Linked DNA regions of Kluyveromyces lactis. The protein of the gene in region 3 interacts with the protein of the main gene of each other region in a biochemical or structural test. Links are inferred from orthologs where the notes say so. Each region holds a gene or a part of one and is shown on either strand. Other genes may lie near its edges. The genes, in order: SHE2, PUF6 and KLLA0_E14257g.

Region 1 (2,716 bases), on a different chromosome or scaffold from region 3:
GGCAGACAGTAACAATGCTCATGGTAGTAATGGATTCATTCAACGGTATCGTATGAACAGAGCCATCAAGACTGTAACTGACCTTGCAAGGGAGTACTACGAGGGATTACCGGGTCAGCCATCCGTGATGGCTCTTGAAAGAAGGTTCGGATCTACTTGGAGAAGCAGTGCAGGTGAAAGAACGTTCTTCCATAAGAGGTACGTAATAATACAAAGGATAGAAACGATTCTTCGTGAACCTTCGAGGTTTAACCTCCCGCTTGACATCACCAGAAGGAAAGCTGTACGCGTTATTGAAAACTTACGCGTGGGTAACAACAGATATAACAACGGATCGCCCTGCTGTATGACCTTAGCACAACTTTACCTCTATTTCTCTAAGTATATGGATTCATATGACGATTATTCGTTATCATTGAAGAACAAAGACGCTCCAAGTATTCGAGAAATCAAAAGCAGGCAGAAGAAGAAGACTCCATCCCAGTTGGCAGAAGAACATTCCATCATGACATGAGACCTGTATGACGAACTGTATGTAACTTTTTAATTTGATATTCTATATTCTATATATATATATATACAAATATGTGCGAACGTGTAGGATACCCTCACCTACTTCTTGACCGGTTTAGTCATTGAAGCCCATCTCTTTGAGTCCTCTGAGAACAACTCCTTCATTTCTGTTTGTTTCTGCACCAGGATCGCAGACCAATCATGCAACAGGTCAACGTATTCTTCCTCTACTTCCACAATGGCAACGTCTTGCAGTAAGATATCTTCGCTAGCAGTGAAATCCACCTCATCTTCAATGGCACATTTTCTAGTGAATTCAATCAACTCTAGTGCCAGGTGAGGACAGTTGCCATTCCTTTCACTGATCGATTCTACTAACCATTGAATTCCCTTGATATATATCCTGTAGCTGTCATTGATACAAACAATGGTCTCCTCACTAACGACCAAATCCTCATTCAAAGTCTTAGAGATCGTTTCGCCTCTCATCGGCTGTGTAATGTAGAAGTTCAACAGGTCTAATATTTCAAACACTTTGATTAAATATGCTCCCAATGGATCGATCACTTCGTTTAACCGTTTTCCAATAAGATCATTCTCACCTTCAAACGACCAGCTGTGTAAAACATCAGCCATGAACCGTAGTTTCTTAACGTACTTGATCAATGTCATCCTTTCGAAACGTAGCGTGCTCACACGACGCTGGACTGCGATAAGGTTGTTCAAATAGTCCACATATCTTGATATATAATTTGAATATGTGGAAACCAATTGTAACACAGCATCCAGAATCTCTTTCGAGATAACCACTTGACAGTAAGCCATGATAACTTGTCAAACTAAACCAATTGAGCAGTTAGTGGGCCCTTTAAACGGTTTTTAAATGCTTTTTCTTCATGCCCATCGCTGGTCTTCACCGGATAACATTAAAACCGAAAAGCCTTAATATTTAAAGAACCTAAGAATATTGGAGAAGTAAACCTTTAAATACCGAAACACAATACACAAATGTCAGTTAAGAGTTTAGTTTACTTTGAAGTTGGTAGTTGTTACATCAGTTGAGACAAACAACCAGTGCAACATGTCCAAGTTTAAATTTACAGATTTGAAGTCGATTCCTGGCAAGATTGAGCTTGCTAAGCAGTTTTACAGGTCTCGACAAGCCAGGTTAGCCCAAAGCAAGTCCCCTAGGGCTACTGATATCAATGAGAGGATCAGGAGTTTGCAGAAGCTTTACTGGGCAGTGAAGGATAATGAGGAACGTCTTATTGCAGCAGCAAGTAAGGATTTCCATAGGGCAAGAAGTGAAACGCTTACTATTGAATTAGTCCCCTTGTACAACAATATCCTTTATTTGATTAAAAACATGAAGAAAGAGATCGAACCAAAGAAGATTAAGGTTAGTTTACTTGCACATTGGTTCGGTACGACTTTCGTGGAAAAGATCGCATTGGGGACCGTTCTTGTCATTTCTCCGTTTAATTTCCCCATATTATTGGCATTGGATCCATTAGCTGGAGCCATCGCCGGTGGTAATTCCGTGGTGTTCAAACCTAGTGAATTGACACCAGCATGTGCTGAAGTAATGGAAGAGATATGTAATGAGGCGTTTGAAAAGGGTCAAGTGGAGACGGTGCAAGGTGGCGCTGAAGAAACAAGTGCTTTAGTCGAATCCGGTAAATTCGATAAGATATTTTACACTGGATCTACGACCGTTGGGACAATCATAGCAGAGAAGGCTGCTAAGAGTCTAACACCATGTGTATTAGAACTTGGTGGGAAGTCTCCAGTGTTTATATCCCCCAACTTGCCTAAATCACAATGGGAGACTGCAATAAGAAGAATTTATTACAGTTCTATGGGGAACGCAGGTCAGATTTGTGTCGCCGCAGATTATGTCCTATGCCCTGACTCGATCTACGATGAGTTTGTTGATTCTTGCAAGAAAGTATTGAATGAGTTTTACCCTTCTGTCACCTCTGACACTGAATATACTCACATGATTCACGAAAGAGCCTACAATAGGATTCAAACCGTCATTGAGACCACTAAGGGTCAAAAAACTGTTGCTCAACATTCAGACAATCTCCCACCGTTATGTATCCCACCCACCATAATCTCAGACGTTTCTTGGGATGATCCAAGTATGACCGGTGAGAATTTTGGACCCATCTTACCTATCATGAGATATACTGATTTGGAT
Region 2 (4,065 bases), on a different chromosome or scaffold from region 3:
TCTTCGTGTATAAGAAACACGAGTAACATTGTGTTTTCTCACAGAACTCCAAAAGTGAAAGTTCTGTTATATTCATAATACTTGGTATATTTGAAGCAGGTGCAAATTCAGGCAGGAGAAACATTTTGAGTCTCCCTTCGGACAACACTAAGGCTCTATCAATTTTCGGCAGTAGCGTTATGCCATCAATTCCTGTTGGTCTGTCTTCATTGAAGTTGACTTCCGAGATCAGTGTGAAATTTCCAACATCTAATTCATAATAGTGTAGTAACGCTCCTGAAGTCGAGCCCAGGTAGATGTGCTGACCATAATATTCGATACATGAGTACTCATATTCATGAGGCACATTCTCGATTAATGGTGAAACAGCATATAATCCATCGGTTACTTCAAAGGCAGTTGAAATGGGTTTCTCTTTAGTATCGTCATTCATAAGCCATCAATGCCACTGCTGTAATTAGTGAATTGAGGAATAAATGTTCTTAGCTGTATTATCTCTGGTTCGCAGATGATAGTCTCATTTAAGGAAGTGTGAATCTTAATAGTAGACTAGAACGTCCTTCGTCCACAATGATGAGAAGCTATATCATCTTTAATATACATATTTTAGAGCCAAACTATATAACGACTTGACTATACATACTCAATGCTTCATTAGCTTTAGAAGTAGTTGAGCACCCTTGTTTGAATCGTTCGTCTCTATTTTCTTGATCACTTTTTTCAAATCATGATCGAATTGTTCCCCTTCTTCAGTCCCATGTAAGGCTTCATACAATGCCACAATGGTAAAAGAACTGTTGGGTTTGTTGATCCAATCGAGTAGGTTGCTGGAATCAATGATGTCTTCATAAAATTTTTCAGCAAATGGAATACCAAGTCCCTGAACTTTTTCTAGAGGTTCTAGTTTTCTTGCTTTCACGTTGTATCTACCATTTTGAATGAGAGACTTTAGCAACCTTGCCGAAAATGGTTTGTTAATAGGGTGGTCTTCTTCTGAAATGTCACCTTTGAAATAAATGGCGACGGTGTCCACAAGCTCGGCAAACAACTTTTGATCAGACTCTGAAAGTTGTTCATAGACATCATCGTTAACGAGTAAATCTGCGACAAATTGAGAACCGATGTTTTCATCTAGAATGGTTTTGTAGTGTTCGTTTACGCCAGATAAAATCATTGGTGCGAACCTTTTTAATAATTCAAGTCTTCTTTGGTCAAATGGCTTCTTGGAAGTAGTTTCCGACATCTTAATGTATCTTTGTAGTTCATTCTTCATATTTGGACCGAAGTATTTACCATCTAATCCTAAAAGTAGGAATAAGAGCGGCCTCCTACCAAATTTATCAACAATCAATTCTGGAAGATGTTCCTTAATTGGTGGGGAAAATGCCTTGGAGACGAGAACAGTATCATCGACTGTCATTAATAAAGTTATGAAAACAACGGCACCGTGTTCATTTTGAATTAACTTGATTGCATGTTCTTTCAAGGTCTTTATCAACCCCTTTCTTTCTTTGGCATTTGCTTTAGCGATTAAAGTAGATGCAACTTCTGCACCTTCTGGGGTATGCACTAATTCCGCAAAGTTCTCTTCTAAAAGTTCGATGAACTCAGATGTTTCTTTATCGTTGGCGATTTTGACGTATTCCCTCATTGCTGCGTGTAAAATCTGGAAACCTGCCGAACCTTTTTCAACAGAAGCAGTGATGGTACCAATCAAGTTTCTAGCGATAATATTTCTCTTTTCTACGCTGGAAGCACAAACTTCTTCGAGCGTAAGTTCCTTATGAGATTCTCTGAATACGGCGTATTCTGAACCCCAAAATTCTCTGATCATTTGATTTCTTTGTTCTTGAGAGGCATAAAGAACAAACAAATCTTCGACCACATAGGCACCTTCACGGTGTCTCATTAGTTTTCTCAAATTACCATGTAGTTGATCGATTATGATTTGTCTAGATTTTCGGGAACCATAATGTAACAATTTAACCAACAAATATTTACCATATGATGATGTGGCCAAAACATAAATTTTATCTTTCAATGCCAACGTGATCTGTTCTCTGCGCTCTTTGGAAGAATATTTGACTAATGTCTGGACAATTCTGGATGCATCATGCTTCAATACTAAATCTTCAATACAATCATTCGAGAGTTCCCAGATCTCATTACATAGCTTTTCACGGACAGGCTTTGGAATTGGAGGGTTCTTGACACGTAATCTTTCCCATAAAGACTTGATCTGCTGGACTGTTTCACCAGATTTACGCTGAAGTTTTCTCTCCTTTAATGTTTTTCTTTGTTCGGCATGCTGGCTGACACCATTACTTTCTTTTTTGTCTGCATCATTTCCGGTTCCAGCATCTTCTTCATCTTCAGCATCTTCTTGATCCTCATCAGATTCATCCAGTTGATCAGATTCGTTGTCTAGCTCGTCTGAATCTGAATTTGAGCTAGCATCATCTAATTCATCATCTAGCTCATCTTCTGAAGATAAACCGTGGAGGACATCATCAGAATCTTCATCGCCAGAATCAACACTAATGTTTTTAGCTCTTTTTACAATTTTACCAGAATCCTTCGACTCCTTAGATTCCAATTGACGCTTGTTCAACTTTTTCGACGTGGCTGCCATATCTGTAGTGCTGTATTGTCCTACGAGAGAGAATAAGAATGTATATGTTGTTATTTAATGCTACCCATAGTGCAGTTACTACTGTATAAGCTCATCTCATCTCATCGCTTCTTTTTCAAGTTCAGAAAATTTTCATAATATGCTAAAAAGAAAGAACTCAAATAAACATTCGCCAGAATCTCTCTTTTTTTGATGGGGGGAATATACAGTTGGTACAGGATTTGGCTGATTAAACCGAATATGGCAGTTTATTACATGCTTCAAAGATTTAGCTCTATTTCTCGAAAGCTCTCTCTTCCGAGTTAGTTAATTATGAAATGAGTAAATGTCACCCTTTCAAACTAACGAGATTTTTATTGTAAATCACAAACAAGTTGAGTTTTACACATGACAATGATAATATTACAGTAGTAATTGTGGACAACTTTAGCAGCTATAGTTGTTAATTCTAAAAGATTTTATGGTTATCTATATACTCAACTTCATATGAAGTTCATTGAAAAACCAAGACAGTAGCTTCGGGTATGAGAATAAGAGGGAATGACTGCATTTACATTAACTTTCAAGTAGTTCATCGGAGGGTTTATCCTTTTGATAAGCTTCCATGTCCTTTTCTCTAAATCTCCTTTGCATTTCGCTATTTTGTTGCTTTCTCTTCTTGGCTAGTTGTTTGGAAGCTTTGATGTTGAATCCATCACTTAAAATAGTTTGTACTTCCTCCAATTCTAGACCAGATAGTTCTGGATAACAGAGATAACAGAAGACGGTAGATACTGCAGCTAGTGCAGCAAATAATGAAAATGTACCAGTCGGTGTTATGTTTTGTAACATTGTTAGGAAGGTAGATGCAATAATTAGGGAACCAGCCCAGTTAGTAGCTGTACAATAAGAAGTACCTACACCTCTAACGGATGTTGCAAATAATTCAGATTGCTGCCATGGTACAGTACCGATACCTAGAGCATAGAATGCTGCATATACCATGATGAATACGATAACGACTATACCCCAAGAACTGAATCCACCATTGGAAACTTCCGATTCACCAGCGCCAGTGAATTTTATATCTAGGAAATGGAAGGCGATAGCACACATAACCAAGGAAACCATCATACCAGGCAAGCCAATCAAAAGGATTGCTCTACGACCGACCTTATCAATCGCAAAGAAAGCGACTAAAGTGAATACGAAGTTAGTACCGGCAACGATGATAGACACTGCAGTAGAATTTTCGAAACCAACAGTTTGAAAAATAGTACCAGAGAAATACATTAAAGAATTCCAACCACAGAATTGTTGAATACCTTGTAAAGCACAACCGATCACCAATGCCCTGAAATTGCATGGGACAGTATGTAATTCTTTGACAGTGTTGAAGAACTTGTGTACAGGGGTCTTACCTGGGATAGCCTCATTCAAATCTGATAGTTCAC
Region 3 (2,420 bases):
TCTGTACTTTCTGGACGATAACCTGGGGATTTAATTAAGAGCTTCGCATGTGTTATGTAAACTATTTATGATGTTCTTTGGTTCTTCTTCGATATTCTTCTTGGTATATGCCGTCTAACATACATATAAATGTAGAACAATGATAGATATATCGTCAAATTCGAATGGAAGAATTCGATGAAGAAAACTCTATTTATATATTTTCGGGATTTGTTGATCAATAACAATATGCTATCGTATAGATCCTAGTTCATAGCGGCTCCAGTAGTATATTTACTGCTTCTGAAAAAAAAATGACACCTTAGAAGTTCTCTCACAACTCCATACAATAACATCTCCACTACCTTCTTCCCGGCTTAATTTTTTAATATTTATTATTAATTTCCTATTGAAACAGAAAATATATTTATTTTTCGGAATAGTAAAACTATACAATATTTTAAAATAAATTGAATTAAGTTTTATTTAAATTAAATAGATAATTATAAAAAAAGTAAAAATTTATTTATTTCTATTATGAGAAAATTAATAGATATTTTCTCTAGAAAAATAAAAGAAGAATTAAAACTAATTTGAAATTATATTTTATTTGCACGTGATATATATACATCACTTTGTTCACTACTGTCTTGTTTAATATACAACATAACTATATGGATTATCATTATTATTACTATACTTAAAAAGACAATTGAAAGAAAAACTAATATCATTCGGATATCTGACATTTAAACTCCAGCACAGTGTACCTATATTACCTTATACTAGTCGTGAGTTGTGTACTCTGTATCATCTTATTGTTTCTGATCATTTATTCATTTTCTATCATTATTATATTTTTTTATATTTTTTTATCTAATTTAATTTATTCTATTTTATTTTAATTGTTTATTCTATTTTTTCACATTGACATGCAGGAATTCAAGAAATAAAGTGTTACCAAGCGAAAAGAAATAAAAATAAAACTTTTCGATGATGAATTGAGCTCATCTCATCGCTTTGGTAGAACACTATCACAACTACTACAAAAGCACAACTGGACTTGAATTTATACCTCTGGGTACGCTGTCTACTAGTTAAACCGCGAGACAAGTCTGAATTTACAATAATCAGACTTATAGAAGAAAAATCCTTGACGCATAACAATCCATCGAACTTGAAAGATGGCTCCCAAACAATCAAAAACGGCTAAGAGATCCAAGAAACAAAATGGAACGAGGGAAGTAAGATCAGAAGTATTCGAGGACTCTATTGCCAAAAATCAAATGGCAAACGTGCCTAAAATGACTGAAAAATCTGATACCAAGAAACCAACCAAGTTACAGGTGAAGAAGGATAATTTCAAAGCACGTCTATATGGTAGCCAGAAGAAGAAGGAAAGACGCTATACCGAGAAAGAATTAAATATTCCAACACTTAATAGAGCGATTGTACCTGGTGTAAAAATCAAAAAGGGTAAAAAGGGGAAGAAGTTCATCGGTGATCATGATTTAATAGCGTTAAACAGATTAATCAAAACGATAGGTGATAAAAATGATGAAATAACAGAGAGCAAATTAGAGAAGACAAGGAGACTCGAAGAAATTCGTGATCTAAAGAGACAAGAAATGGAAAGAAAAGAAACCGAAAAGAAGGAACAACTAGAGGGTAAGAAAGATGAAATCAAGAAGAAGGCATCCGTTGCCAGAACTATTCGTAGGAAAACCAAAAGGCAAGAACTGAAACAAGAGACATTAGCAGCTCAGTCTGAACCTATCAAGAAGAAGAAATCTGTCAGCTTTGCATAGTTAATACATCAATTTATATATGCATATGTGTGTATGTAAATGGAGGAATCGATAACCTTTTAGCATCGATCATGTGACTAAACATATTAAAAACATTAGATTACCGTTACTGTAACAACTGGAGTTAATCAGCGTTTCAGCCTCAACACAATTTTGGTGTCAGCAGCTGTTCAAAGATTCGGATATGAGGGCGCATGTGTGTATCCGGCTGCCATGTCGGTCTTCTATTTTCTAGTCATTGTTGATGATGAGAGAACAGAGACATTTCAACGTTGTTGGGGACTTCCATACAATGCAGATTGAAAAGTGGGACATTCTTACGATTCTGAAGCCAGATGATAAAAAAAAAAAAAAAGAAAACTGACGCTGCTCTGCCAGATACCGTTATTGACAAGATGCTTTCAGCTGGTAAACACAAGCACCATTTTTTTTTACGTGACTTAACTATTCTGAGTTCATCTAGTATTCTGGTAAAGCAACGGTCAAAAACTCATCCCTTCAGAGTTTGGCATGTGATTAACAAGGAGGAGACAAAAGGGTCGTCAATTTAACCCGTTCCAAATGCAATGATCGTCGGTTTATTCTTTTTTTTTTTGTCAACTAGTTGTATTTAATTTACAAAACTGTCATCAT

The links.
Region 1: the proteins of KLLA0_E14257g (region 3) and SHE2 form a complex in vitro, tested with the Saccharomyces cerevisiae proteins (2 studies listed by BioGRID). The link is inferred for Kluyveromyces lactis from reciprocal best matches to the Saccharomyces cerevisiae genes LOC1 and SHE2.
Region 2: the proteins of KLLA0_E14257g (region 3) and PUF6 form a complex in vitro, tested with the Saccharomyces cerevisiae proteins (3 studies listed by BioGRID). The link is inferred for Kluyveromyces lactis from reciprocal best matches to the Saccharomyces cerevisiae genes LOC1 and PUF6.

What each region holds. Positions count from the first base shown.
Region 1 is NC_006038.1:1,092,645-1,095,360, forward strand, and holds SHE2 (She2p), read right to left. Parts: upstream 1,339-2,716; coding exon 613-1,338; downstream 1-612. Other genes in the region: EUC1 (Euc1p), read left to right, coding at 1-514; HFD1 (hexadecenal dehydrogenase), read left to right, coding at 1,595-2,716. UniProt on the Saccharomyces cerevisiae protein: RNA-binding protein that binds specific mRNAs including the ASH1 mRNA, coding for a repressor of the HO endonuclease. Part of the mRNA localization machinery that restricts accumulation of certain proteins to the bud and in the daughter cell.
Region 2 is NC_006039.1:1,047,680-1,051,744, reverse strand, and holds PUF6 (pumilio-family RNA binding domain-containing protein), read right to left. Parts: upstream 2,633-4,065; coding exon 644-2,632; downstream 1-643. Other genes in the region: CORVET complex subunit VPS3, read right to left, coding at 1-433; myo-inositol transporter ITR1, read right to left, coding at 3,188-4,065. UniProt on the Saccharomyces cerevisiae protein: RNA-binding protein involved in post-transcriptional regulation. Component of the ASH1 mRNP which transports the ASH1 mRNA to the distal tip of the bud, where the ASH1 protein is translated and targeted to the daughter cell nucleus.
Region 3 is NC_006041.1:1,261,986-1,264,405, reverse strand, and holds KLLA0_E14257g (Loc1p), read left to right. Parts: upstream 1-1,163; coding exon 1,164-1,787; downstream 1,788-2,420. UniProt on the Saccharomyces cerevisiae protein: Required for efficient assembly and nuclear export of the 60S ribosomal subunit. Involved in asymmetric localization of ASH1 mRNA.